4 linked regions of the Arabidopsis thaliana genome follow. The protein of the gene in region 1 binds, or shares a complex with, the protein of each later gene. Each region holds a gene or a part of one and is shown in the gene's direction. Other genes may lie near its edges. The genes, in order: TIM50, TIM17-2, TIM17-3 and TIM23-2.

What was found.
Region 2: TIM50 (region 1) and TIM17-2 share a complex: the UniProt entries of both Arabidopsis thaliana proteins name them as parts of the TIM17:23 complex.
Region 3: TIM50 (region 1) and TIM17-3 share a complex: the UniProt entries of both Arabidopsis thaliana proteins name them as parts of the TIM17:23 complex.
Region 4: TIM50 (region 1) and TIM23-2 share a complex: the UniProt entries of both Arabidopsis thaliana proteins name them as parts of the TIM17:23 complex.

The regions. Positions count from the first base shown.
Region 1 is NC_003070.9:20,899,573-20,907,937, forward strand, and holds TIM50 (Haloacid dehalogenase-like hydrolase (HAD) superfamily protein), read left to right. Parts: upstream 1-3,493; 5' UTR 3,494-3,590; coding exon 3,591-3,900; intron 3,901-4,137; coding exon 4,138-4,235; intron 4,236-4,414; coding exon 4,415-4,451; intron 4,452-4,538; coding exon 4,539-4,600; intron 4,601-4,689; coding exon 4,690-4,803; intron 4,804-4,971; coding exon 4,972-5,076; intron 5,077-5,166; coding exon 5,167-5,265; intron 5,266-5,357; coding exon 5,358-5,514; intron 5,515-5,609; coding exon 5,610-5,712; intron 5,713-5,802; coding exon 5,803-5,848; 3' UTR 5,849-6,281; downstream 6,282-8,365. Other genes in the region: AT1G55880 (Pyridoxal-5'-phosphate-dependent enzyme family protein), read right to left, coding at 51-286, 391-780, 876-1,019, 1,187-1,261, 1,371-1,568; AT1G55890 (Tetratricopeptide repeat (TPR)-like superfamily protein), read left to right, coding at 1,792-2,988; ZIP11 (zinc transporter 11 precursor), read left to right, coding at 6,589-7,054, 7,139-7,653; AT1G55915 (zinc ion binding protein), read left to right, coding at 7,929-8,257. UniProt on the Arabidopsis thaliana protein: Essential component of the TIM17:23 complex, a complex that mediates the translocation of transit peptide-containing proteins across the mitochondrial inner membrane.
Region 2 is NC_003071.7:15,695,004-15,702,546, reverse strand, and holds TIM17-2 (translocase inner membrane subunit 17-2), read left to right. Parts: upstream 1-3,192; 5' UTR 3,193-3,391; intron 3,392-3,663; 5' UTR 3,664-3,696; coding exon 3,697-4,428; 3' UTR 4,429-4,737; downstream 4,738-7,543. Other genes in the region: AT2G37420 (ATP binding microtubule motor family protein), read right to left, coding at 32-112, 215-268, 338-414, 514-583, 667-823, 902-1,632, 1,701-1,997; AT2G37400 (Tetratricopeptide repeat (TPR)-like superfamily protein), read left to right, coding at 5,181-6,182; NAKR2 (Chloroplast-targeted copper chaperone protein), read right to left, coding at 7,086-7,246, 7,539-7,543. UniProt on the Arabidopsis thaliana protein: Essential component of the TIM17:23 complex, a complex that mediates the translocation of transit peptide-containing proteins across the mitochondrial inner membrane. Links the inner and outer membranes.
Region 3 is NC_003076.8:3,756,981-3,764,062, forward strand, and holds TIM17-3 (translocase inner membrane subunit 17-3), read left to right. Parts: upstream 1-4,207; 5' UTR 4,208-4,511; intron 4,512-4,758; 5' UTR 4,759-4,778; coding exon 4,779-5,180; 3' UTR 5,181-5,366; downstream 5,367-7,082. Other genes in the region: NADP-ME2 (NADP-malic enzyme 2), read left to right, coding at 20-109, 197-274, 400-474, 570-660, 754-882, 972-1,060; AT5G11680 (classical AGP protein), read left to right, coding at 2,483-2,592, 2,827-2,938, 3,065-3,136, 3,228-3,454, 3,552-3,654; AT5G11700 (ephrin type-B receptor), read right to left, coding at 5,981-6,128, 6,227-6,315, 6,478-6,720, 6,834-7,050. UniProt on the Arabidopsis thaliana protein: Essential component of the TIM17:23 complex, a complex that mediates the translocation of transit peptide-containing proteins across the mitochondrial inner membrane. Links the inner and outer membranes.
Region 4 is NC_003070.9:27,381,857-27,388,579, forward strand, and holds TIM23-2 (translocase inner membrane subunit 23-2), read left to right. Parts: upstream 1-1,508; 5' UTR 1,509-1,699; coding exon of another isoform or gene 1,700-1,720; coding exon 1,721-2,287; 3' UTR 2,288-2,668; downstream 2,669-6,723. Other genes in the region: AT1G72740 (Homeodomain-like/winged-helix DNA-binding family protein), read right to left, coding at 78-292, 682-831; AT1G72755 (uncharacterized protein), read right to left, coding at 1,700-1,727, 1,925-1,962; AT1G72760 (Protein kinase superfamily protein), read right to left, coding at 3,432-3,461, 3,613-4,019, 4,103-4,466, 4,542-4,916, 4,989-5,078, 5,161-5,196, 5,283-5,499, 5,594-5,779 and 3 more. UniProt on the Arabidopsis thaliana protein: Essential component of the TIM17:23 complex, a complex that mediates the translocation of transit peptide-containing proteins across the mitochondrial inner membrane. Links the inner and outer membranes.

The DNA.
Region 1 (8,365 bases):
AGTACTCTCTAAAACAGTTATGTCAAAACATATAAAGGAATGAGCACTACCTCGACATCTCAACCGCTTCTTTATCAGTCCCACGAAAACCACCGTCAAGTTTTGCCATCAGGAAGTTTTTAGTAAGCCTGTTGATTCCGATCCCTTCTGTTATTGTATCAAATGGGTTCTTTAGCCGACGCCCTTCAGCTTCTTCTCTTGTGTACATCACTCCCCGTGTTACTTTATTGTACAGACCAGATCCAGGAGGATCAATCAGAAAACATTTAACTCTTTCATTCTTATCCTGTATAAATGCACCAACAAGTTATGAGTTTTTCTTTTGCTTATAACATCCACGAATTACTCATTCTTACATCTTTGATTAGTATAAGCCCTGAGTAATTATACCTGAAGAAACCTTGAAACACCAGCTAAAGTCCCGCCTGTACCCGCAGCAGCAACAAAGGCGTCAATATTACCCTGAGTCTGGTGCCAGATTTCAGGGCCAGTACCTTCATAATGAGCCCTATAATTTGCCAAGTTTTCAAATTGATCTGCAAAGAAGCCACCGGTAACTGAATCTGAGAATAAGGAAGGCTCTTTCACTTCCTCAACCGTGCAACCATTAGTTTTCTCCTGGTGTATGCCATTTGTTTCGCTCCCTAGTCTTCTCTTTGATGCTAACTCGTTTGCTTCGTCAGCCCGTCGCCTCGCAATGTTGACATAGTGATCCTTGTGAGTTATTGACACTGGCCTCACTCTCTCAACAGAAGCTCCAAGGGCTTCAATTATTTGAGACTAAAATAAGTCCAACACGATACAAATTTGAGTGTATGTACAATAATGCATACAAGGGAATTTGAATCATCATCAAGGTATTTAAAAGATATAACCTTTTCAATAGCAGCATCATCAGGTATAACAACATGACATTTACACCCATAAGCCGGAGCAACTGTAGCAAGGCTAATGGCAGTACTTCCTGCACTACCCTCAGTTACAATTCCTCCAGGGAATAGCTTACCAGATTCCAAAGCCTAAACAGAGAAACAAAAAAAACATAATGGACTTGCTTCTCGATTTCAAAAACCACTAATATAAATAGCCAAGCTGATGATTCAATCACTGACATTGTTAAGAGAGGTTTATGATGATCAAAAAACTTTTAAAAGTTGAAACCTTTACAATGCTAATCATAGTGTACCTCTTGAATGATCTTGACAGCAACTCTATCTTTAACACTACCTCCTGGATTCAAAAACTCGCATTTCCCAAGAATCTGATCACCAGACGAAACAAGTAGAATGAAAATTACATCTTTAACTCATAAATCACACTATCAGTTCGTCAGACCAAACAGAAAATAGCAAAAGAACATCGAGAAAAACCTCACATCCAGTAGCCTCAGAGAGACTATTGATACGAATCAGAGGAGTATTGCCAATGGCATCAACAAGCCCGTTTCTCATAGTCAACTTCTCCTTCCTCTTCTTCTTCTCGGAGAGACGGAAAAAGAAGCTGTAAGAAGTAAGCATCAACAACGCCGCTGCTGCAACAACAGCGCCAGTCATATTAACAGGCGCCATTGAAGCTCAAGCTCGCCTTCTCCCGTAATCAAACCGGTGAAGTAAAATTAGGTCGTCGGCAAAACAACACTATTTCTATTATTTGTTATTCTAGCCCCCAATATTTCCTTTAGTTAAAAATAAGGCACTAACATTTTTTAAATTATCAGATGCGTCCTTCATTTGATTTGTTCTTAAACTCGTCTCCTGAAGGCTGAAACCCTTTGCTCTCACTCCCAAAACGATGTCGTCTCTATCTCGCGTTCTCCGTGGCACCTTCAACACTTGCCCGATCCGCCGTTTTTCCTCCGCCGCCACCGTAGTCTCCGAACCCACCGCAGTCACTGCCGCAATCTCGCCTCCTCAAAAGTCACTAACCAGTCTCGTGAATGGCGAACGAAACCCCAAACGGATCGTGGAGAAATTCAAGAAGGCATGTGAGTCGGAGCGGTTCCGGACCAACATAGCCGTGTACGATAGAACCGTGCGCCGTCTCGTAGCCGCAAAGAGATTACACTATGTCGAAGAGATTTTGGAGGAGCAGAAGAAGTACCGCGACATGTCAAAAGAGGGATTCGCGGCGAGGATCATTTCTCTGTATGGAAAAGCCGGCATGTTTGAAAATGCACAGAAGGTGTTCGAAGAAATGCCAAACAGAGACTGCAAGAGGTCAGTGTTGTCCTTCAATGCCTTGCTTAGTGCATATAGACTTTCCAAGAAATTCGATGTGGTTGAAGAACTTTTCAATGAGTTACCTGGAAAGTTATCAATCAAACCAGATATTGTATCTTACAATACTTTGATTAAGGCATTGTGTGAGAAGGATTCTTTACCTGAAGCTGTTGCATTGCTTGATGAGATTGAGAACAAGGGACTAAAACCTGATATAGTTACATTCAACACACTTTTACTGTCTTCGTATCTAAAGGGACAGTTTGAGCTAGGGGAAGAGATATGGGCTAAAATGGTGGAGAAGAATGTAGCAATAGACATCAGGACTTACAATGCTAGGCTGCTTGGATTAGCCAATGAGGCGAAATCGAAAGAGCTAGTAAATCTCTTTGGAGAACTTAAGGCTAGTGGGCTCAAACCTGATGTTTTCAGTTTCAATGCTATGATTAGAGGATCTATCAACGAAGGAAAAATGGACGAAGCTGAAGCGTGGTACAAAGAAATTGTGAAGCATGGTTATCGTCCTGATAAAGCTACCTTTGCTTTATTGCTTCCTGCTATGTGTAAAGCAGGTGACTTTGAGTCTGCGATTGAGCTCTTCAAGGAGACATTCAGTAAGCGGTATCTTGTCGGTCAAACAACGTTGCAGCAGTTAGTTGATGAATTGGTGAAAGGGTCTAAGAGAGAAGAAGCTGAGGAGATTGTGAAGATTGCAAAGACCAATGATTTCTTAAAGTTGAAGCTAAATTTGCCGTCCCAGGAAGAGTAAGTCATTTGCTACTCTCTCACTAAGTGTCTCGTTGAATTGTGTCTGAGCAGCTTAAGCTATATGTATTTGCTGGTGTTGCTTTGTGGCTTTTCTACTTCTCTAAACTTTCCTCTGTGGAAGTAAGACTTGTTTCTTTCTATGTAGTTTCGCTTATTTCACTGGTGCAAAAAACAGCATGTAGTCGAGGTTTAGGCAGAAGAAACCCTACAAATTTAATAAATTTTGGTTATTTGTTTTCTCTTTTTGACACGAATGAATTTATTATTTTTGTTGGAAAAATATTTTCATTTTATTTGGTAAATAAATAGTGTAAAATAACTTCATTAATTAGTTATTAAAAGCCCGAAATGCAAAAATAAAATAAAATAGATTCTCTTCTTGGTAAACAAGTAAAAAAAACAGCAAAAAAAATAGAAAAATATCGGAGTAGAAATAAACCGACTACCAAACAGTGGATAAGAGAGTTAAAACGAGCCCATAAAACCTGTTTCCAAACAGTCCATCTGTTAATTTTCCTTTTCTCCGATCAATTCCAAAACCCTACTTCAACCCTGCGATTCATTCATCATTCACAGAGTTTGAAGAAAACGCCGAAATCGGAAATGGCGTCTATTGTTCTTCGATCTCGCCTGTTGCCAAGATTAGCAAAGCTCAGATCTCGTAATCTGAGATGTTTCTCTGCGGAAGCATCTTCGACGAATTCTACATCTAGGTATTCGGGAGTCACCTCTACCCAGTCGATGTTTTCTGATTTTCCACCGCCAAATCAGCCGCCACCTCCTCCTCCTCCTCAAGTGGAAGCTGCTGCCGCGGCTGCGACGGGAAAGGAGAGGAAAGGTCTTAAGTATCTTGGTTACGCACTCCTCTGGGCACTCACTGGTGCTACCGCTGCTACTGGTTACGCAAGTTTTGGTATGTACTTGCATTCATGAATTATCTTTTTTCCCTCTCGTAGATTTCTAGTACAAAGTTGTTTTTGCTGTGAAATGCGAGTAAAAATGTGTTATGGTTTGCTTAATCGTGGCATTGCATTACATTTTCACATATCAGTCTTTTGAATTCAGTGTTCTTCACTTGGTAGAACTGTGTCTTTCTTCGTTATGTTGACTCTTTTTAGTTCTGATTATACTTGTTTGTTTCGTTATGCAGCTTACACGATAGATGAAGTGAATGAAAAGACTAAGGCGTTCCGAGAATCAGCTACGAAGACACCAGTTATTAAATCTTCTGGCATTGATGTGATTGATGTGAGTAAGCTTGGTAGCCTTGAGTCGCTGTCAAATTAATGTTGATCATAACTTGCTTCTGTATTAGTTGACTTTCTTTAGTCTCTGGCTTTCAAATGCGTGCTGCCATGTTTCTCTGCTTCAAGGTATTGTTTATAAGCTTCTCTGAATTAATACCCTTTATACTCATCTTTCTGCAGAAATATCAGACTAAGTTGTACTCTGCTGCAATGACAGGTATAGTTCTTGCGCCTCTGTCATCATAACTAATAGTATGTCTTTAATTAAGCATAGCATGAGTTGGTTTGCTTGAATTTTGATCAGGTTCTGCTAGAGCCATTGATAAGTATTTAGAGCTTAGGGAAATTGTGGAGGAACAAGTGAAAGTACGTCCTTTCACCGAGACACAACTTTTCTTTTTCTTGCATCTTCTTTTTTCTTCTAGAATTCTTATTTTTTGTCTGGTTCCTTATAGGGCTTCACGGAACCTCTCTCGGAAAAGCTTCTTCCGGATCTGCACCCCGCAGAACAGCATGTCTTCACTCTAGTTCTTGATTTAAATGAGACACTGCTTTACACTGACTGGAAGGTAACATTTCATTTATTTACTGATCATCAAAATACTTGCATCATAGATGTGAATATGTGACTCAGAGTATCTATGTTATGAAACAAAGCAGTTCTGGTGAACTACTTTGTTTTCTTAAGTAGTGCTGTATTTAACTTTTCCTGCCTTTTCATTTACAAAAATGTCTAGCGGGAAAGAGGGTGGAGGACATTCAAAAGACCAGGTGTCGATGCATTCTTGGAGCATCTTGGGAAATTCTATGAGATTGTCGTGTATTCTGACCAGATGGAGATGGTAAAGTCCCAATTGGTTTTTCTTTTTTCTCCTTTTTTGCTTGTAATATCATAGTAATGCGACTACTAACGCTTGTTTCATTACTTGTAGTATGTACTCCCGGTCTGTGAGAAATTAGACCCAAATGGCTACATACGTTATAAGCTAGCAAGAGGCGCTACTAAATATGAAAATGGAAAGCACTATAGGGTACGTAAGCAGCTAGCTTATCTTGTCAAAGCATACTTTCTGACTTGCCCGAGTAACTGTTTCTCAACTAACTATTAAAATTCCTGCTGCAGGATCTGTCAAAGCTGAACAGAGATCCGAAGAAGATTCTGTTTGTTAGCGCAAATGCCTTTGAATCAACCCTTCAGCCAGAAAATAGCGTGCCAATCAAGCCTTACAAACTAGAAGCTGATGACACAGCCCTAGTTGACCTGATACCCTTCCTTGAATGTAAGTATTGGTGAACTGAGGGATAAGTTCTGTTCCAGTCCGTGAACTGCCTGTATCAATTTTGTTTGGTTGATCTTCCTGTTTGGGTTATGCAGATGTTGCACGTAACAGTCCAGCAGACATCAGACCGGTTCTGGCCTCTTTTGAGAGAAAAGATATTGCCAAAGAGTTCATTGACAGGTCCATAGAGTATCAAAAGTGAGTCGATCAGAGCTTTTTTTTTACCCTATCGTATCAATGCAAAATCTGTTGGTAGTGTCCCACTAAGAGTGTCATATCTCTATGCAGGCGAAAGCAAGGACAACTGGGACAAGGTCGATTCTGGAGGCGTTAAAGGATCTAAGATTTATGTATAGAGCGAGAGACAATTATATCATCATTGATGGTGCACACCATAAAATAGGAACATGAGCTACCGTTCTTCGCTATGGATTTATTAGGTAAAATCCGAATTAAAATACTGTCTTTGTCATCAAAGAGTTTTTATGTTACCCAATTTTCCTCGTCTTTCTCTCTGCTTTACATAGAAAATTTCTATGAGAACGAAAAAGAAATTATCATATGGAAGGTTCATTTTTCGTTGACTAACAAATACCGTTTTTTTTCTCTGATTTATTTTTACTTGGTTTGACAAATGATTTATGATTATGAACTTTGAGAAATTATTGGTTGAAACGTCAATTTGTATGTATTGCTAAAAAAAAGAGTAAATTACCTTTTCTAGTACGCTTAATATTTATCTGTCTGTTTCAATGCGTGTCTTAAGGTGCAATATCAGGTTTACAATTAGGTAAATCAATTACAGATTTTTCTTGTTAATCTGAACCAAATAATTGTACTTTTTCCTAAATTTGAATTCATAAAGAGGGTCCAAGTCTAACAACCACTTACAAAGCTCCTTCACCCGTAATCCTTTTCAATGTGTCGTAATCAACCAACCAAAAACCATAAATTTATTGTAGTACAAAACAAAACTCCATGACTTTAAAGTACGACTCTTAAACACCACTTATATATTACACGACATATCGCTTAACTTCGAATTTCAGACACACAAACCCACTGAACATTCAAATGTCTCGTTCTCTTGTCTTCTTCTTCCTCTTTCTTGTCTTGGTCGTCCCTTGTCTCTCCCATGGAACCGGAGGAGACCACGACGACGATGAGGCTTCGCACGTTAAGAGTTCCGATCTCAAATCCAAATCCTTAATCTCCGTCAAGATCGCATGTCTTGTCATCATCTTTGTCCTCACGTTCATAAGCGGTGTATCTCCTTATTTCTTGAAATGGAGCCAAGGGTTTTTGGTTCTTGGTACACAATTCGCCGGAGGCGTGTTTCTTGCAACCGCCTTGATGCATTTCTTGTCGGACGCTGATGAGACGTTTCGTGGTTTGTTGACGGCGGAAGGAGAGTCGGAGCCATCTCCGGCTTACCCATTTGCTTATATGTTGGCTTGTGCTGGTTTTATGTTGACCATGCTTGCTGATTCTGTCATCGCTCATATCTACTCAAAGACCCAAAACGATTTGGAGCTTCAAGGTACCAAAAGTTTCGAACTTGTGAATCTCAATCAAGAATTAGAATTATGTTGTGTTGAAAGTTTTGTGCTTTATTTCGTTTCAGGAGAAGACAAATCGAATCAGAGGTCAGCAACAACTGAAACTTCGATTGGAGATAGCATTCTATTGATCGTAGCTCTCTGTTTTCACTCTGTCTTCGAAGGCATAGCTATTGGTATTTCAGAGACTAAATCAGATGCTTGGAGAGCTCTCTGGACAATAACACTCCATAAGATATTTGCAGCGATTGCAATGGGGATAGCTCTTCTCCGTATGATCCCTGACCGTCCTTTATTCTCCTCAATCACTTATTCTTTCGCATTCGCCATCTCGAGCCCAATTGGTGTTGCCATCGGGATAGTCATCGATGCAACGACTCAAGGGTCCATCGCGGATTGGATATTCGCATTGTCGATGAGCTTGGCGTGTGGGGTATTTGTGTATGTATCTGTGAACCATTTGTTGGCAAAAGGGTATCGACCAAACAAGAAAGTTCATGTTGATGAGCCTCGTTATAAGTTTTTGGCTGTGTTGTTTGGAGTTGTTGTCATTGCCATTGTTATGATATGGGACACTTGAAAAACACTACAATTGTCCCAAAATACTGATTAGATTTTTCTGGTTTGCAAAGAAAGCTTGTTGATTTTTGTATGTTTATAGCATGTAGCAATCCTCGTTTTGTAATGTACTTTGTACTTTTGTAGCATCAAAGATAACACACCAATAAGAGAGGTTTCTTTCTTGTTCGATTTGGACAAGCACGGTTTATCTAAGCGGTACTTAATATAGATGGGCCTGTGGATTGGGCTTGAAGTGGGCTTATAGTGGGCGTGTAGGTGTTGTTATTGGCTTACATGAATAATGGTGCGTTTGTCCCGCCACTCTCTGGTAGACCAAATTATGCTTCACATTTCAAAATCCCTTTTTTGTTGCATCGAAGATCGGGAAGGTCAGAATTGTTTGGGTTTTTGAATCGAATTTTGAGATATTTGAAGGTGGGCATCTGTGAAATTGTGATGAGTTCGGCGAATTTGGAAGATTTGAACAAGGTCTGGGAAATAAAGGCTTTGAAGAGGAAACCTAGAGAAGATGAAGCGAGGAAGATTCTGGAGAAAGTAGCTAATCAGGTTCAGCCGATTATGACTAGACGAAAATGGCGCGTCAAGCTTCTCTCTGAATTCTGGTAATTTAAAGGGTTTTTGTCAAATCGTCTATTTATTAAAGATTTGAATCGATTAGTGGCTGTGGAAGAATGATTGAAAGTATTGTTGAATCGATAAGTGGTTGTGGA
Region 2 (7,543 bases), on another chromosome or scaffold:
CTGGATACTAAGTCACGGAAGTTCTAATCACCTTGCAGTCCTTAAGGTCACTTTCAACGTCCAGTAACTTCTCTTTCTCAGTCTCATAAAGGTCACAGAACTTGGAAACCTCCTGCATAAAAGAAGCCTCTTAAGTTCCAATGGGAGAAAATTAATTTAGTTTCTAACGTACAGATACACTTTAATGTTAAGAGATAATGTGAGGCAGACGTACACTTTCACTGAGATTTAGTTCATTCTCCAACTGTTCTATCCTCTCAATTCTCGCCTGAAACAAAGTGATCATTAAGCCCAGCATAAAATGAATATACACTTAAGTGTCTTCTTTTGAATCTACCTTCTTTTCAACTTCTTCTTGTGTATATCTTTCATGTGCAATGTAAACACCATTCTTATCCCTTGCTGCTCTTACATCTGCATTGATTGTTTAACAATTTTAACTAATCCAATAGCTCATTTGATAATATACATAAGAAAATCTGGAGAATATAGAACAGAATGTTGTGTTCATACCTTCTTTCATTCTCTCAAGCTCCAAGTAAAGATCTTTAAGCAACACAGCCTTGGATAACTTCTGGTTTGCCTGCAGAGACACGTCTAGTTAGAAGGATAGAAATTAAGGGTACATTGATAAATAAAGATGAGATATGGTAGCATAAACAAAACCTCAGGTTTGTTCTTGATGTTCTTGGCACGATAGGCATAATCCAAAGTACTTAAAGTTTCCTCTAGGGAATGAGCAGATGGAGAGATTGTAGCAATGATACAAGTTTTTGTCTTTCCTCCTAGAGAGTCCCGTAAAAGCCTTGTCAGCTTACTATCCCTGCAACCACAAGTATGCTTTCAAAAAACACAAATATTACCACAGTAGACATATATAGTTGTAGGACAAGGCAAGTACCTGTAAGGTACATGAGAAGAATGTTCCACAAGGGCATTAATCACACGGCCTAGTGTAAGCAAACTCTTGTTAATCTCTCCTGCTTCTCGTGCACGGCCATCTCGAGCTCCTGACCGTAAGATATTCTCAGATCCTGCTAGATCCACAAGGTTAAGCTTCCCACATTTGATTAACTCTTCATCTCCCATAGACTCTTCCTTTATATGGACAGTGATAGTAAACACTGAATGAGATCGACTACTTCTCTTATTCAACAAAGTATCAGCTGTACGCCTTTTAGATGAACCTCGTTCAAGAAGAGCATATATATCATTAGCACTGTACACAACTTCTTCTTCAAGACCTCTTAAAACCACAGAACCCTTCCCATCCTCCATCAAAGAAATGGGCTTCCTCTGCTTATCCTCAGAAGATCTTGAGGAATCATCTTGAGCTAACAAATCCGTAACTTCCTCATTGTAAAGCTCCAAGAATGTTACTTTCATACTGTAATCAGCATTTTGCGCCTCAAGAGTATCGAAAATATGTCTAACAGCTCTGGGAATCACCCCAGCCTCCGCAGGTAAATCCCCTCCCTTTTTCCTCATTCCACCTTCCATAGTGTAAGTCTTCCCAGTTCCTGTTTGTCCATAAGCAAACACAGTACAGCTAAAACCTTCCAAGACTTCATGAACAATAGGTGCAATAGCTTGATCATATATAGACCGTTGTTGTGACTTAGGACCAAAAACCTATAGAATAAACACCATCAGAGACCCTTGAATACAAAACCATCAAGTAGAGAAAGAGACCAACCAACCTTGTCGAAATTGAAAAGACGGTCTACTTGCTTATTAGCAATAGTATGAAGAACATTGACTTCTCTTCTCATTTCATTACAAGAGATGACTCTAGGAACACTAGATTTCTGCTCTTCTTCACTTAATGGTTTGCATCGTAGAATCACTTGAACATTGACTTCTTTATTATCTCTATCGAGACGGTTAGAGAAAGAATCAGGTCGTCTTCTCTCGAGACGAGGAGTTAGAAACGGTGCAGGTGATGGAATCACTCCTACTCCACTTTTCCTTGATACCACCTCTGGCGTAAACGACATCTTCGATTTCTGTGAAATCAAATTCAAATTCCCTAATCAATTGAGAAAGGTTGGATCAGAATCCCAGAGATTCGAATTCTAAATAAGATTCACTTACAGGAAACAGAGCCGAATCCTGGAGATCGAAAGAGAGACTTCTTTTCAAGTTTGAGAGAGAATTTGAAGAACAAAAAAAGATTAGGGTAAGTAACCGTTGGGAGTGGAAGCAGATCCAAATTCGAATTACTAGAGAGCTCAACACTACCTTTAATTTCAAAAGTTTTTTTAAAAGTCGCAAATATCTTCTTCTTTTTTGTCTCAGTATTCATATATTGCTAGATTATTTATTTACAGGTATTATGATATTAAATATTTCAGTCAAAAAATTGTTCCAATAATCCAACAACTTTATGATTTGTAAACATGGAAAAAAGGGAAAAAAAAAAAAGGAATTGTAAATCTACTACTTTCTGATTTTATTCTTAAATAAACACTTTTGCCAATACAATCATATATATGTGAGATGGATTTACTACTTCTTTTTTTTTGGGGAAAGAATTTGGAATCAGCACTATTGGAGATGGATAAATTAAAAAAATGATCATTAGCTCATTATTATCATTGATTTGACAAAATTAGAGAGAAAGAAAAGAAAACACAAAAGAATTTGTAATTGAATATGAGAGTATTTAATTCAGTCTCCAACTGTTCTATGTGTGATTAATCCAAATGTTGTAACTTGTGAAGACCAATATATATTAACAATCTGTATACATTATACACTAACGTACCGTTGTAAGAGAGTTAATGACATTCTTGCATTATAAAGGAGCTTTTAAGCGTGAGTTCAAGACGGGTAAACAGACAACAACATCCTTTAATCTTTTCTTAGTCTATGGGCTACTCCAAACTTGGGCTACTCCAAACTTGGGCTACTCCAAATTGGGCTTCTCTACTTTAAATCTTCTACTAACTATTTGGGCTTTTATTAATAGGTTTAATTACTTTCTCTCTCAGGTCTTTCTTTTAACTAGTTTGGGCAATTGAAAAAACTTTTGGCTCCTTTTTTAAATTTTACTGAACGAAATTATCCTAAAACAATAAAAAATAAAGCAACCATATTCGAAAAGAAAAGAAAAATGAGCGATGCCGGCAAAAAAGAGAGGGAAATTAAAAAAAAAAAAAAAAAACGCAACAGTGTCGGAAAAATAAAGCTGACAAAAAATTAAACGCAAAATAGTTTGGTCGCTGTAACTTTTTTGTTTATTTTTTTCTAGCCAACCCTAATAAACCCTGACGCCGTTTCTTCTTTTACCTTCCTTCTCTCGCTCACCGTCGCACCTCCTTCATTTTTTCTCTCTCTCTCAAACTCGTCTCTAAAACTCGTCCGTCGATTAATTCCTCGTTAGTCTCAGGTATGCTTCTTCGATTCTCATCTATCATCAACAACAGTGCTTTCTCAATTCTCTTAGATTCATTTCTATACACAAAGTTTCCACCTTTTTCTATGGTTTGCTTTCGATCGTAAAGTACGGATCTTTGATAAACCCTAATCTTCTTCGTTCGATTGTATATGTTCAGTATTTAATTGGAATTAGTCAGAGATCTATTTGTTGATTTCGCAGTGACTTACAAAACCCTAAATTTCTTACTATTTGTTAATGAATCAATATTCATTTGATTACAGGTTTGATAGAATCATTGCCTGAGGCATCTAATAATGGGAACACCAGAGACATCTCGGGAGCCTTGCCCTGATCGTATACTCGATGATATCGGTGGTGCTTTTGGTATGGGAGCTGTTGGAGGATCTGCCTTTCATTTCATTAAAGGGACTTACAATTCTCCTAAAGGTAGTCGCTTTGTTGGAGGAACACAATCGGTGAGCATGAACGCACCTCGTACTGGAGGCAGTTTTGCTGTTTGGGGAGGTTTATTCTCGACATTTGACTGTACCATGGTGTACCTAAGGCAAAAGGAGGATCCTTGGAACTCTATCATTGCTGGTGCTGCAACTGGAGGGTTTCTGTCTATGCGGCAAGGGGCTGGTGCTGCTTCGAGATCAGCTATTTTTGGAGGGGTTTTGCTTGCTTTGATTGAAGGAGCTGGGATCATGTTGAACAAGGTACTGGCTCAGCCTCAGAATATGATGATGGAGGACCCTGGAATGCAAGGAATGCCTGGGATGCAGGGAATGCAGGGAATGCCTGGGATGCCCGGAATGCAAGGAATGCCTGGGATGCAAGGAATGCAGATGGGGCAGATGCAGAGTCAAGCACAGATAAGGTCAGAGAGTCAAAACCAGAATACAGCTTCATCATCATCATCATCATCATGGTTTGGAGGGCTTTTTGATAAGAAAAAGGAGGAGGTGCAACCAGGCAGTGAAAGTAAAACAGAGGTGTTGGAGAGTTTTGATGCTCCTCCGGTGCCATCATTTGAGTTCAAGTAAGCTTTGTGGACATCTATTTCTCTGTCATCCAATGGTTTACCTACTGCCTCAACTATCAATTCCATTTCGTCGTCTTTTTGTCTATCCTAAGTTCTCAGCTGAATTCTTCTTGTTCATGGAAGAATCAGCATGCTATGTTCTCTCTCTTTTCACTTATGGTTATGTTTCAATGAGCTTATGCACTCAATCTAGGAATATTCTCTTTGTGAAACCATTCCACAGATATTGTTGGTTCTTAAATAATGTAGTTATAGATTTTAACAATATTCGCCAGTGGAAAATGTTTGAGCATTGGAAATGAATCCCTTGGTCCAATATCTTAGCCCATCCACACAACTCAAACACAGCAATTATATTGTAGTCACAGCAAGTACTTCAAAACTTCAGAAAAAGATCAATCAGAGTGGTTTGTGAAATCTTCAGACTGATCAGAAGATGAACAGTTCTAACAACAATCATATATCCTTAGCAGTACTGATTCATGATAATTGTTGTGCTTGTTACTTCTTAGTAAGTAGGATCACAAAAGCTTGGTCACACCAACAATATTCGGATTAAGGAAAGAGATCAGCGTTTTGATTTGTGATATTTACATTTCCTCTTCTAGTCTTGGGCTTATAAAGGCCCAAATTCAGGGACCAAAAACGACGCCGTAACTTGAATCATATTCGAACTCGAAGGCTCCTTTTGATGCTTCTTCTTCCTCAAATCTCACTGTAGGGTTTTTAGGGGTTTTCTCTCTCTTTGCAATCATGGAGTCTCTAGGGAAGCTACAGCTTCATCAGCAACCAAATCACCTCTCTTTCACTCATTTCTCTTCATCTTTCCCCAAAAAGCCTTCGTCTTTCTCTCTCAGATCCTTACCCAGATCAACATCATCCTTCAAATGCATTTCAATCAAAGCTTCCTCATCCAAGTCTCAAGACTCGAAGCTCTCAATCCTCAAATCCACATGCGTCAGCTTCACTGCGGCAGCAGCACTGTTCCTTGTGAATCTCCAGCTCAAACCTTCACCGGCGATTGCGGCTCCTGTGGCGGCGACGCCGTTAATGGAATCTCTCAAACAAAGTAACGGAAACGTTTCATTTGAAGAAGAAGAGAGATCACTCGAAGAGTATCTTGCTTCTCACCCTGATGATGTTGAAGCTCTACGATCTTTAATGGAGGTAAGGATCAAATCTCGAAAGCTTCTAGAAGCTATAGAATTGATTGATAGGTTGATTGAATTGGAACCAGAGGAGAAGGAATGGCCAATGTTGAAAGCTAATATCTTTAGTTACAGTGGAGATTTAGAGTCTGCTAAAACTGGTTTTGAAGAGATTCTAGTCAAAGATCCGCTTCGTGTCGAGGCTTATCACGGTTTAGTTATGGCTTATTCTGATTCTGGTGATGATTTGAATGCTGTGGAGAAGAGAATTGAGGAGGCAATGGTTAGGTGCAAGAAGGAGAAGAATCGTAAGGACTTGAGAGATTTTAAGCTACTAGTGGCGCAAATTCGGGTTATTGAAGGGAAGCATAATGAAGCATTGAAGTTGTATGAGGAGCTTGTGAAGGAAGAGCCGAGAGATTTCAGGCCGTATCTATGTCAAGGGATTATATACACAGTGTTGAAGAAGGAGAATGAGGCGGAGAAACAGTTTGAGAAGTTTAGGAGACTTGTCCCGAAGAATCATCCTTATAGAGAGTATTTTATGGATAATATGGTTGCTTCGAAGCTCTTTGCCGAGAAGGTACAGCGAGAGATGGCTGAATGATTGTCTTACGAAATGCTAGTCGTGCTTGAATGTGGTTTTTTTTGTCTCTTTTCTGTTGCTAATGGTTTTAGATGGTTGTAGTATGTAGGTTGAGCTTGAATTTATGTCGTGATCGTGTGTTGTAGTACGGATCGAATACTCAATATGGGAATCTTGAATTGCTTGCACTGTTTTTTGAGATGTGTATGTATACATCACGACTCACGAGTCATTGTCCCAACTCACCTTAAAACATCATTTCAAAAGCACCAAGCTGTCTTGTTTTCTCTTGCTTGGTTTGCTGAAAATGGTTGAAGTCGTGTTGGAGTGCTTCTGACCAAGCCTTGGATACATTGAAAACAGAGTTGAATTTTGGAGGCATATAATTAAACTAACAAGACACCAGTATATGATTTTACAACGCTTGTTCTTGTTGTCTTGCAGCTGGAGCTAAGAGCTCTAGAAAAGAGTAAACAAATAACTGGAATTAAGAAAGAGTTTTAGTATATGTCAATGGACTCGCAAGCAAAGAAGATGACTCTGTCGGACACAAAGAACTTGAACAGTAAGACCAAGGCTATCATCTGATGTAATTCAGACCAACAAATTACAAGAGTAGCAGACAAACACACCATTAAGTAGTAGAAAGATTTTCACCTTTAGCATCGTTAAAATCCAACTTAACAAAAGGATATAAAAGGCCCATTATGATCCCAGATGACGCTTTCATCCTATTGTTTTAATCTAATCATCTTTGATAATTTTAAGATTTTGAGGCCCAACTATTAAAACAAGAAACAAAAATAATATCAAATCTTAGCAAGTATAGATTTTGACGTTATTAAACCAAATATAAATATAGAGACACTTCTTGAAATCACTATTTTATTCTTGAAATACATACTCTTGAATACTCCCGATATATTAGGGATTTTGTGTTTCCACGTTCGGCTTTGGGATTGTTGGATTTGTCCAAAATTGGGCATTTTTAACCTTTGAAATGCTATCCAATATTTCCAAGGGAGTGATATCTCCAGTCACAGTCACTTTCTTTGCAGCAAAATCTATGTTGAAAGATGTTACACCTACAAGTATCAATTTCATTAGTTATAAACCAGCATTAGACCAAAACCGGTTCACTAAATTAATAGAATAGACCGGCTCAGGTATGGACAAAATAACGAAATCATTCAGAGCCTACAGTAAATTGGAATCGAACTCAGTTCTCGTATTTGATAATTTTCTTATCACAAACTGGAGCCAAGAATTTATTTATATATATTTATCATTCATATAATATATTTTCTAAACCGGAACATTTTTAGAAACTAAACCAAAAAAGGGAGCAGATGGCATTCTCGTAAATAAACTAATCACCTTGC
Region 3 (7,082 bases), on another chromosome or scaffold:
TTGAAACTTTTTCAAACAGGCAATCAAGCCAACCGTTCTCATTGGAACATCCGGTGTGGGTCAGACTTTCACAAAAGAAGTTGTCGAGGCCATGGCTACCAACAACGAGGTTTCTTCTTGTTCTTACTCTCTGCTTTTTCAGAAAACAAGGTATTTATGCTATTTTTCTAATGCTGGTCTTGGTGTTGGCTTATAGAAACCGTTGATTCTTGCTCTCTCAAACCCTACTTCTCAAGCTGAGTGTACTGCTGAACAGGCTTACACATGGACCAAGGTATAATATTGTCTCATATGACATCTAAATGTGATTCATGTCCTCACTCCTGATTATACAACAAAATTATAATTTGGTTTTCATGCTGCTCCTCGAATCTAATCATATATTGTGCTTAAAAAAAGGGTCGTGCAATCTTTGGAAGTGGAAGCCCATTTGATCCTGTTGTGTACGATGGCAAAACCTACTTGCCTGGCCAGGTTCGTGCTATTTCAACAACTTCTTCTCTCTCAACTTTGTACATCTGACAATCTTAGAGCTCACATCATATTTCCACTATCCTACTTAACTTCAGGCAAACAATTGCTACATTTTCCCTGGTCTGGGTCTTGGTTTGATCATGTCTGGGGCAATTCGTGTCCGTGATGACATGCTCCTCGCAGCTTGTAAGTAAAAATAAACTTCAGAAAATCAAACATGGATACTGATAAAGACACTTAAAGATTCTCAATGTCATCTCTCTCTCATGTTTTCAACAGCTGAAGCATTGGCCGCACAAGTGACAGAAGAGCATTACGCCAATGGTCTGATCTACCCGCCATTCTCAAACATCAGAGAGATCTCTGCTAACATTGCAGCCTGTGTCGCCGCCAAAACCTATGACCTCGGTTAGTTGAATGAAACTGTCTTAACTCTTTTAATGAGACTGTCTGAACTCTCTAATCTCAAGTTCTAAAATCGATGTATTGTGGTGTAGGATTGGCGTCGAACCTGCCACGTGCAAAGGATCTTGTCAAGTTTGCAGAGAGCAGCATGTACAGCCCTGTGTACAGAAACTACCGTTAAAAAAGTTTTGTTGAAGAAACCTGCAGATTATACTATTCACAACCCTTGATAGTTTCTTAAGGCTTGTATTTAAGTTTTTTGTTTGTTTGTTTGTTGTTTGTTTTCTCTTCTACATTATGATGCTGTTTGTGAACTCTCTCTCTGTCTTTGCTGATAAATAATAAATTGTTACTAATATAATCTACAAATCATTATTGTCTCAAAGTTACACTTTCCATCCCACATCACAAAATCGATCAACTTGTCTTGGAAGGGAATAATATGCTTTTTTCTGCCACTTGTTGTATCTTATTGGTTGTTTTATTAAAATGGTATAATTGTTGCAGAATTAAAGAACTTGTATCATTATTTTGAAGAGTTTATCAAAAGTTTCATATAGATAATAGGACTATAGAAGCATAGCTGAATACTCTTTTGAAAGTGGTTTCTAAATTGTACTGAGCAAAATGTTCTAAAAACAACAAAACTCCTAATCTTAAGCTAATGATTTTGGCATTTTAGGTAACTACTTGTTATAAATAGCTAAAACAATAACAAGAATCTCTAAAACTCGTCTTCACGTTTTGGTTAAAATCGAAAGCTCAAACAATCCAAACCAAAACTAAACCGAAACAAGATGTCAAAAAAATAAATAAACACCTAAACCGAAACCAAAGTTAAAACAACTGAAAATGGGCTGAACGGTCCCTTTAATCTGAGATGTAATAAGGCCCAAATAGTAACTGTAGATGGGGACAATTGTAACGAAATCAAATTGCGGGCGAAAATCGAACTAAAGAAATAAGTAGAGGGACGAATAAAATGGTTAGAAGGTTTTAAGAATAAACCGCGTCGCGTCTCTTTTCTGGAAAAAACGAGAAACTGTGATCTTGGCCCTTTTATTACCCCTATCCTCTTCTTCTTCAATCTCTCCGATCAAAATCCTTTTAAGCTCTGTAGACCCAGGTATGTTCCTTCAGCTTTTCTATTCGCGAGAAAATTACGAGTAAAGGATTGCTTGAAATTGAACTTGGATCGTTCTGTTACTGCTTTCTTATTGCTATCAGATTTTGATTCTCTAAGGAATTAGATATTTTCTTTGTTGATTGATTTGTTTTGAACACGTATTATTAATCCTAGTCTTTGTTTCTACATTATAGGAACGTTTCGATTTGAATTAGCTAAAAACCTCAATTTTATTTGCTCTTTTGCATATCTGAAATTGGAAGCTGATGATATGTGGATGTTAATTGGCTCTAGTTACTTGGATCTGTGAATAATTATTTGCTAATTTGGAGCATGTTCCTTTGAATTATCTTCTGATTGTCTAAGTATATTTGGAAATGTGTTTATATTCTCATTTGTGTGATCAGGTTACGCAGAGAAGAAGAACAGAACAAGGAATTATATAATCATTGGCTTGATCAATCTGAATTGCAGTTCATGGCGCTAAACCCTCAATTACTACCCAATGGGATGCCTGTTCCCTTTGTTAATGAAATGTTCGTCCTAGTCCGAGATGGTGTTGAGTTTGAAGTCGACAAGATCCCTGGGTTCGTGTTCCCTTCTCTCGTCACGCATGTTTTGGATCTCCTTAAGTGGTTTATTGATTTGATGATTATTGTTGGTCTCCATTTTAGTACCGTTTTGAGTCGGTTTAGATCCACTCATCTAGCATATGAACCATTAAGTTTACTTGTAAATAAGATAAGTCTCAGAAGTGAACAGACATATGAGCTCTGGGCTTTAAACACTTCCCTGATGTTCTTTCTTGTTGTATGATCCAGAGGGCATGGAGGTCATGTTAAGGCCAAGGGGGTGATTTACTTGTCTAATATACGGATGGTCTTTGTTTCAAGCAAGCCTGTTGACAACTTTGTTGCTTTTGACATGCCCCTGGTACAGTAACTTTATCTTATTTTTGTCTCTGATTTAGTTAATACATGGCACAAGTGTAGCTCTGTTAAATTTGGTTATGGAACTACATGCTACATATTAGCTTATGGATTATATGTTACTCTGTAGCTTTACATCCATGCCGAGAAATTTAATCAGCCAATATTTCACTGCAACAATATTGCTGGACAAGTGGAGCCTGTAAGTACAAACTTTCATGGAGAATTTATAGTTTCTTTCCTTGTAAGGAAACTATACATATTTACTTATTGGCATGTAACAAAATTTCCAGGTGGTGCCAGAAAATGAGCATAGAGCTCTATATTCAACACACAGTTTCAAGATCCTATTTAAGGAAGGTGGTTGTGGGACATTTGTTCCTCTCTTCTTGAATCTCATATCATCAGTGAGACAATACAACAGACAAATGCAACAAGCAGCAGAAGCAGCAGCGGCAGCTCCTCATGTTGATCCTCTTCAAGCCGCTCAGACACCTGTGGACGAAATGATGAGACATGCGTAAGTCCCATCAGAAATCAATCGGAAAGTTTTTTGATAGTAGTAAAAGCTGTTGTTCCTCATAAAATCTTGTGTGGTCGTCATTGTGTATGTGCAGGTACGTGGACCCTAATGATCCAACGAGGATATATCTGCAACAGCCATCAGGGGAATCTCAGTTGAGGCGTAGAGCTTACCATTCGGGTGCGGCGGAACATTGAGATACACGGAAAAAAAAAATACAAAGGCTATGAATACAGAAACAGCAACAGATTAGTGTTGCTAATAAGCAAAACGTGTTGTTTGTTTGTTTAAAGTTGAAAACTAAAAGTCTAAAACCATCTGTGTAAAGAAAGATGAGACTTGTTTGGTGTGTGGATGTATCTGGTAAAATTGGAGTCGTAATAATCATAAGTTTGGTTCATATATTGAACAAAATGTGGGTCGAAAACCCTGCCGGTTCGCCTGAACCATGAAAAGTCGGATTTGGCTGATCCGCACGCTCAATTTTCTTCAGCTAAATCGCGAATACTTGAGCTTGTAGTAAGTCGTGGCCACTAGTGGGACACACAAAACCACAAAACATATATTTTGCAAGCTAAAACCCAATGGACTAAGATTTGAGGTTCAGGGTTGGACCATAAAATTTGGAATGGATAATCGGATACTTTAGGTTGGGTTGGTAGTTTTCAATATTGAAATTGGGTTTTTGGACCTTTCCTTAGTTTTTGATTTAAAACAAAATTGTAAAAGAAAATGAAAATACGAAGGTGGCATTCTAGCTTTATTTTCCAGAGAAAGTGGCTTTCCAGCCATTTATTAAAAAAAACAAAGACCAGGGTGTTTTTTTTCTGACAAAACAAATTGTAACACTCACTAGGCATAGCATTCTAGTTAGTTCTGCAGAAATTTATAGCGACACTGGTCCAAATTAGGAGGAGCGAGAGCGAAGGTACGAGTGAGGATTTACAATTGTCGATCGTTTTCACCTAGAAACCCTAATTTCGGGGGCTCGCACGCCCTCTCTGATTAGAAGCGACTTCATTATCGGTCACTAGAATCTGCTGCTTCTTTTCTGGTTAGTGTTTAACCAAGCTCCGTTTTGTTTGCTCTTAATGGAATCAGAATTTCTATCATTCCTAGATTAGTTTCTGTGATGTATATCTCTGGTATTCGGATTCTTGTGCTGAGCTCAATTCATAAGCGGAGGATTTCTTAGCTTCGATAATTAGCCCTTTTCAAAATTTGCAGCTTTTTATGCGGTTTGTTCTTAAGATGATTGGTTCATTCAGTTTTGTTGTGAGATCTCTGACCTTCCTCTGTAGAAACTAGCATTGTCAGGAACATGGACACTAAGAAGAAATCTAAGGAACATGGCCTATACCGTATAGTCAATGCTATCGGTTATGCATTTGGAGCGGGAGCTGTTGGAGGTTCTGTATATCATTTCGTGAGAGGGGCATACAATTCCCCAATAGGTGCTCGATATGTTGGAGGAACACAAGCGGCTAGCATGAATGCTCCTCGCTTGGGAGGCACTTTTGCTGTATTTGGAGGATTGCTCTCAACATTTGACTATGCATTGGTGCGCATCAGGAAGAAGGAAGATCCATGGAACTCCATCGTAGCGGGTGCTGCTACAGGTGGAGTTCTGTCTATCCGAAAAGGGGTTGTTGCAGCTTCAACATCAGCGGTTATGTTTGGTTTTTTTTTGGCTGTACTCAACCCTCCGTTCGGGAGCAAGTAAGCTTTTTGGGTTGTCTTTGATGAGAATGTCATTTAGACTTTCATGATAATTGCCTTTTCGTTATCAATTCTTCAAAATTACTGTTTCATGGAAAGTTTAACAGATTTCGTGGTTGAGAATTTCTGATCATTTTTGTATAAACGTCATCAAGAACTAATTATTGCTATTCAAGTGTTCCTTTTTGAATAGTTTCTTTTAAGTAGATGAAATCTCAGGGGAAAAACATTTGGGAAGGGGAAGATGAGGGAATGAGTCAAAGATATTATTGAGCTCGACAGTCAAAAGTTAAATTATTCCCTGATTTTGATCATTCTGAAAAAAACTCCTTAGTTAAGTCCCAACTAGTGCACACACCAAATCAAGAACCAAATCCATTTCTTGTCAATAATATACACCAAAAAACAACTCAGGTGTACTGAGGCAGATATAATAAGCACAGCCTCAAGTAGATAGATCATCATTCTGGTTTCTCACTTATTTACATACAACCTTTGAAGGAGGATCTTCACCAGTCACCAACACGACCATATCCACTCAAAACCAAAACCGAGAGCCCCAAGAAACCCAAACAGGATCTTTAGATTACATGTTTTTGTCCCTAATTATATCCCTCAAATAAACTTTTTTTCTTTTAACAATCAGAGTTCCTTCTCTTTTGTATCCTAATTCTATTCACCTGGAGTAATAGAATTACAAGAAGAGAAACAAAAGAACAAAAAAAACAAACTGAAATCCCCACTCCAAACTTGGGGCAGGACTGTTTTTAGTTGTTCTGAGAAAAATTACCTGACAAGACTTTGTCACGACTGCCAAAACAGCTCATAATCCTTACTATACAACGAGCGGTCTTGTATCTCCAGGTTTGCTACATGTCGATTTATGAGCTGCGATTGCATTATCTTACACACGACCAGTCCTGCTGGGAATATCCACCATTCACTTTCACCCCTGCATCCCCCAAAAAGGTACAGACATCACAAACCCAACAAACAAAACATAAGATTGTCACAGAGAAAGGTACAACTTTGCATAGTAGTAAAACTCACATGTTTATATTCCACGGCTGAAATGGGATTTTCTTGCTAGCTGATGATTCACTATGATAATGAACATATCCGCAGAGAAAAGCCACAAACTGTCACAGAACCAAAACTCGTCAGATAATGTGAGACATGCAGCATGTTCTAAAGAATCAACACCCATAATGTCCACAGATATAACTATTATATTCATCCTCATGTGAACTGAACCACATTGCATTTCTCCACATAACAAGTTGTCAACAAAGAAAACTTACCACATTGACTAAGGACATGAAGTTCCACAATGCGTAAACACGTGCTAAGCCAGCAGAGCGTCTGGGTCCATGACTGAATAAGGCATTAATCCCAGCGGGGAATGGCAGAAGCAAGCCGAGAGGTAATATAAACAAAGCCAAAAGTACATCCAGCAAAGAAATCGAATACAGCTGGAGGAGTGTGAGCAAGACTAGACTAAAATCTCCTAAAAGTAACATCGAGATAACTAAGCCAACCATATCCTGCAATACCAAAGACGATAACAGAGGGAAGAGACATTAAAATTCTAGAAAAGTTGAACGTCACAACATTTAAGAATACATTCATACCATAAAGATTTTGATTGGGTTCGTACCTGGTGGCCCACAGGTTTTGTGTTGTGAACTAAGAAAGAGAGAAGGAAAAACATATCTCTCTTCTCTTTCAGACTCGGTAAGCTGTCAAGGTCGATTATCCCTCCATAGTTCTTTCTGCGTGTCGTATAATCCTCGGTGTTTGAGTGGGGTTGGTTGAAGAGCCTACTCTCTCTCAAATGTGGTGGAGAATTTTCTTTATGTGCATTCACGCCATAACTAGAAGTTACAAAACCAAGACATCAAAAAGC
Region 4 (6,723 bases), 6.5 Mb from region 1:
CTAGCATTTATGGAACTAGTCTCTCATCATACTTTCTGGCCTCAAGTATGAGAAATAGAGAACAAAGAAAGACAAACCTAGGAGCATTCTTTGTATTTTCATCAGGGATCAACTCAGAAGGTAAAGTACGCCGACCGGGAGGAGGTGGAATAGTAGGAATAGGCCGTGGAATAGTGACAGCATCATTTGCATCTGCAGCCGGAGTGTCGCCTTCCTCTTTGACTTTTGCTGGCCGTGCCTTATTAGTTAAACTTTGAGTACCAGGGGGAACACTCAAGTTACGCCACTTATCCTATTAAGTATTGAAACACACAAAATTTTCAAACTCTTCTTCATAAGACTACCACCAAGTAAAAGAAATCCATAGCAAAATGAAGGACAGTACTACTCTTTCCACCTCAAATCTCCAACTCAACCAAGCTAGCTTTAGGTATTGCACACTTGAATCAATAAAAAAAAAAACTTATAATCTATCCAAGGAATCTCTAATCCTATAACCAATGATAAGAGGCAACACTAATAAAACCTATTGCCAAAAGTTTTGATTTTTTATGGATCTTAAACTAAGCAGATACGACAGAGTACATAATGCACTCCGGGTTGGTCTCAAATTCGATGTCTAGGTTTAATATATGGTTCAACGAGAGTGATTTTAAAGAGGTGAGTGAAGAAAAGAGAAACCTTTAGGTCAATGTTGGAGCGATGGATGAGCTGATCAGCGAATTCTGGATCCCGGAGAATATTCTTCCACTTTCCAGGACCGTGCTTTCTGATTCCGGCGAGTAACGCCTCCTCTTCCTCCGCCGTCCACTTTAGTTTCTGGTTTCCCATCTAACCCTTGCGTGATTTACCTCGTGCTCTCTCTCTCTCTCCAAGACAATCGGCGTGTAAACGGAGTTAGACGCAGTCTCTTCGCCGTAGCTTTCGCCGGAGGTTTCGTTTATTTTTGGCTCTGCGCAGTTGTGTGACTGCGGGAGGAGGTTTCCAGTTTGCAAAACTTTTTCGATTATTTACTTCCGAATTTATGCTTTTTATTTTGTCTTCTATTTACGCTCTCGAAATTAAATCGAATTTTTTTTTTTGGCCTTTTGACTTAAATTAAAAACAAATAAGCTTTGTATTTGAATCCTTAATTATTTTATTTGAAGTTTAGTTCTCTAAATAAAAACTGATGACAAAAAAAATTCATAAAATTAGGTTCGTTCGTCGTAAAAATATTTCTGACATTATAAGAGAAACACCTGAAAATTCGAGGATGTTTGGTTGTCACGATGGATTGCAATTTTGCAAAGTAATTAAGTATGACTTTGAAAAGTCCAATGTTGAAGAGGTTAATTTTGTAAAAATTAAACTTATGGGGTCACATTCGAAATATCAGCAAATACAGTGTGTGGTGGTAAGAGAAAACCAACTTGGGTTTAAATAGAGAAAATAAAATAAATGGGGTTAAGTTCGAAATAAACGTAAACGCGAGTATTAAGCGAATCTGGTACTGCGCGTATCTGGAAACAACTGGACTGAGTCTTTCCCTAAAAACCCTAAACATAGATTTTTAGTTTAGTTTGGTTTCATTTCTCATTTCGGCAACCAAACCAAACATTCAGAGAGACACAACACAACCACATCATCACACGTTTCTCTCTCTCTCTTTCCTCTCCGTCGTCTCTCTCTCTCTAGCCACCACCAAAATCCTTAAAACCTAGACTTTTCTCTTCCATCGATGGCGGCTAATAACAGATCCGATCATGGGTCAGACGAAAACACAAGACTTTACAATCCTTACCAAAACTACGAAGTCCCAATCAACAAATCTCAGTACCTTTACAAGCTTCCTACCTCCCCTGAGTTTCTCTTCACGGAGGAGGCTTTAAGGCAACGTAGATCTTGGGGTGAGAATCTCACTTTCTACACCGGAACAGCTTACCTCGGTGGCTCCGTTGCCGGAGCTTCTGTTGGAGTCATCACTGGAGTCAAAAGCTTCGAATCTGGCGACACTACTAAGCTCAAAATCAACAGGATCTTGAACTCTTCTGGTCAAACTGGTCGAACTTGGGGTAATCGGATTGGTATCATTGGATTGGTTTACGCAGGGATCGAGAGTGGTATTGTGGCTGCCACGGATAGAGATGATGTTTGGACCAGTGTGGTGGCTGGTCTTGGAACCGGAGCTGTTTGTAGAGCGGCGAGAGGAGTGAGATCTGCAGCTGTAGCTGGTGCTCTTGGTGGACTTGCGGCTGGAGCTGTTGTAGCTGGGAAGCAAATTGTGAAGCGGTATGTGCCCATTTGAAGACTGCAAGAGTCTAATTGGCAGACTCTTTTTCGGGTCGTTGTTGAAATTTTTGATAGGGGAAATGGTGAGAATTTGATAGGTTTGGTATGTCTTGGAATCATAAAAATGAAAACTTTATTTGGTTTCTAGAGGTACAACAAGTCTGTATGTCAAGTCATAATGCAGTTTCACTTTGAAGAATAACCTGCAAACCTTTTTCTTATATTCATACTGATTAAATGTTTTGCCGATTGGTAATTTAATTTGTCATGAGTGTGTTTGTTCTAGTTAGTGTTTTATGTTTCTGTTTTTGATCAATGTTAACTCTTTCTTGATTCGTTGAGAAACTGATGTGTTGTATTACATTTGAAAATGAAGCTCTTCTCTCAAGTTTTTTCTTATCATTTTGTTAATTGGGATGGTGTAGTGTGTTCACATAATTGTATACCTCTGTTTATCTCATTGAGTACTAACCTGATATTTGATGGTGTTATTTTGTTACCTATTATATCCCCCTGGTTCTATTTCTCTGGACTGTTCTCTGCTCTTAGCTATTAATTTTGTCTCCAAGATTTCACAAGCTTATGATGATGGATCAGTCACTTTTGGTTTTGTGGTTTTTGGTTCTCAAGTCTCAGGCATATTGTGTAGCAAACCTTCTCTAAACTCTTACCGTCTCTAGACCTTATCAGCTGCTCTAAATGAAGAACAAATAGTGTCCTCTAATCTTTTTATTAAAGCCTTAAACTTTCAGTTTTGCAGCTTGCTTAGAATTTTTGTTTTGTTTCAGAAGATCATGTACCTGCAAAATGACATTTCGTCTGATTTCTTCATTCGAATGAGGGTCTTTACATCAATAAACAAGTCTTCTTTAAAGTGTAGAATTTTACATGAACAAAACTAAAAGAATGTTTCATATACAAAGATAAGGGAACTCCCCACACGCTATGGGAGATCACCCCACTGAACTCTGGAAGGAGCACAACTCATAAAAGACCAACCGTTGCCTTTGTACTTGCTTGTATGTGATCTTGGAGGTCGACTCCTTCTAGGTATAGGATGGTTACGGGTCTTAGAAGGATCAAGATAGTCGTGGATCTCAGGTACTGCCATTTTCAGCTTCTGGTTGATCTACGTCGAATTTCCATGTTTTTATCAATACTCAATATGATTTTCTCAATTCATCCTCTATCTACATGGCACAGAAATTATTCATGAACTGAGAAAGTTCTGCAGTAAACATTTTTCACCTACTTAATAAAACATGATTCTGCTTGATCTAAAACCCTAAATTTCTATTTGCAGCTAATATCCCTTAAAAAGAATGGTTCTAAGAAACTAACCTGAGAGGAAGGAATCGGGGAAAGCGGAACTGAATTGTGTTCATGTGACACATGAGATGTTCTATCCTGAATACGTTCATGATCCTCTGTTGCAAACTCTTTAAGCCTGTTCAGAGCTGGTAACAGAACTAAGGCAAGATCAGGTCTGTCCTTTTTCCTCAGTTCACAACATTGTAAAGCCAATTTAGCCAACTCCAGAGTCTCTTCTTCAGGCCATTCTGATACTGTTGGATCCAAAATTTCTCTCAGATTATTATTTTCAACCGCCATCTCTACTTTATGGCCTAACCCCATTGCTGGTTGGGCTGTTATGATTTGCAGTAGCACCACACCAAAAGAATAGAGGTCAGATTTCACTCCAAGCATTCCGGTTTGCTGATACTCAGGGTCAATGTAACAAAATGTACCTGTTCCCGTACACGTCAAAATGGGAAACATACATCAACATTGGTTCGATGTTAAGACATCGAAAAGAGATGTTAAGACTTACCGGCTGCAGAAGTCATGTGATAGTTACTGTAGGTATCAGCCACAGCAGGAGGTACCAAGCGAGCTAGACCGACATCACTGATTTTGCAAGTGAGATGTTTATCGAGTAGAATGTTTGCTGGCTTCAGATCACGGTGAACTAGGGGCTCAGGTTTTGCCTGGTGAAGGAAAAGAAGACCTGTGGCAATCTCAGAAGCGATTCTGAACCTTGCTCTCCATGAAAGTGGGGGTGTGTTGTTTTTGCAGAAGAGGCGATCTTCGAGTGTTCCATTTTCCATATACTCATATACAAGACAACCATACTCGGGACATGCACCGAGAAGGATTACCATATTAGGGTGCCTCATGCTACTAAGAACCTCAATCTATTGAAGAAACATATGTATGAGTCAGGAGAAGGAGAAGCAAAATAAGGAGAGCAATATAAACTAACACAGTACCTCTTGTTGGAACTGTTTCAGTCCCTCTGTGATACCCGACTTCAAGATTTTAATGGCGACAGAAGTGTAATCGAGGACAGCTTTGTAAACAGGTCCATAACCTCCTTCCCCAATCTTTAGAGCATCAGAAAAACCATAGGTTGCATCTTCAACATCTTTGATACTATAACGTCTGTAAGAAACCGTTGTGAACATCATCTGTTTGTCCAAATTGGCTTGCATCTCAAGTAATCTTCTCTTTTGGCTCTCCATTTTCGCTATGCGCTTTGCTATTTCAGCTGCTTGGAATGCAGCAGACTGCGTTTTCTGCGTTTCCCTATCAGACAATGCTCTAGGCAGCTCTATTTTTTCATCTGACCATGGGGTTTCTTGGGACTACATAATGTAATATCTAATGATTATTATTCACAACAATTGTCATCAACATGGAAGATAACAGTATCTTACGTTTTCTTTTTGGTTTGTAGTGTCTTTGTCCTTGTTAAACTGCTTCAATTCCAGTCTCAGTCTCCTCACCTCTGCTTCAAGATTTTGATTCTGTCAAAAAGGATAGACCATATCAAATCATGTTGACATTCTGCAAATCCAGGACCAAATTTATGTTCCTGAAAAGCTTTACCTGTTGTTCCACGTAATTTCCGACAAGTGGACTTTCCTGTGCATCAGTATGAAAACCAAGAAGGAAATGTCAGAACACTGAGAAACTGAACATTTATAAGAAAGTGACGATATACTACTAACCGTGGAAGTTGAAGAGATCGAGCTTCCGATGGTAGTGGAACTATCAGAGACGGTGTAAGAACTCACAGTTGATACCATATCACAACTTCCATTGTCAGTCTCTGACTGAGAGATTTCACTCATAGATTGCGGTGTTGAGATGCGAGGTGAATTAGGTTGGAAAAAATTTGAATTTGGTTTGTTGGTTTGTGTAGATACAGGTGATGATATTGATGCGCTGTAAAAAATGTAAACAAAATGAAAAGGCATACTTCACTAAATCCTGTTGAAAAGAAAACCATGGCCAATGGTTAGAAGAGAGTTGAGATTACCTGTCAGAGTCAATGGAGTTTGTTGAGTTGTACAACAAAGAAGAGAGATTTTGTTGTCTGGAAAGTTTATGACGGTGACTCGCGGATCTGCTTTTTAAAAGCTTACCTTTGGTCACAACAAAGACGGCACAAGTCTCTGGAGTCGTCTTAAGCAGAGTGGTTGGTACATCTGGACTCTGAAACTTTCTGATCACAAAGAAAAATTGAATGTTAGCATTTTGTATAACCAAAGTTGAGATGATACCAAGCATGAAACAGAGAAGAGGAGAGAGACTTAAGGAAGGAATTGCGTGCAGATGCGCCAACAACAAGATTTGCAATGTAATAATTGTTGGTGATGTAGTTGACAATAGCATTGGAGATGTCAATATCATGAAGAATAACCTCTTTTGCTATGATCTGAAAAGTGTGTATATACAAGAATGTCATGATCATATTTGATGCATTATAAGTGTGAAATGTTGTTGCAAGGAGATTGGAAATGATCGATTAATACTAACTCCTTTTCGAGCGCAGAATCCTCTGAAAGGAAGAAAGAATTCATGTGCCTCGTCCGGATTGTCCTGATGAAAATGTCCTCCTGTGTCTCCTACTGCAAAACATACTCCTAATTAGGGTGGCTCTTTGACGTTTTGGTTTCAATGATGAAGAGAAGAGCGAGAGATGCTTACGTTGAACGTGGATAAGGACACATTGTGGAGCATCAGCAACAATATTTTCAACGGCCCATTTCAAGGCGTGTTGGCTGTTCTTGTCCTTATCAATGGCGATCGCCGTGATACTGCCATAGTCCTCCGAGGTCCTTCTAACTCTTCTTGCAGACATGTTAGAATCTTGCTTCCCAAGAAACATGAATAACCTGCTTCACAAGGAAACTATAATACTCATAAATGATCTCATGTCTTCTTTGTCACAAAACACCCACAACCAAGATCGATTGTGTTGTTTTTCTTTTGTCTGGCTTTGCAACCTCAGAGAAGAAACAATGAACAATGAAAAGAAACAGAAAATTGTATTGTGAGATGATGAAGCTTTTAGTGGTTTTACAATTTTTCTAATTTTGGAGGGTTTATTTCTCAAACAACTCAACAGTCTTGTGAAACAAACAAACAAGAATGGAAATTTCCACA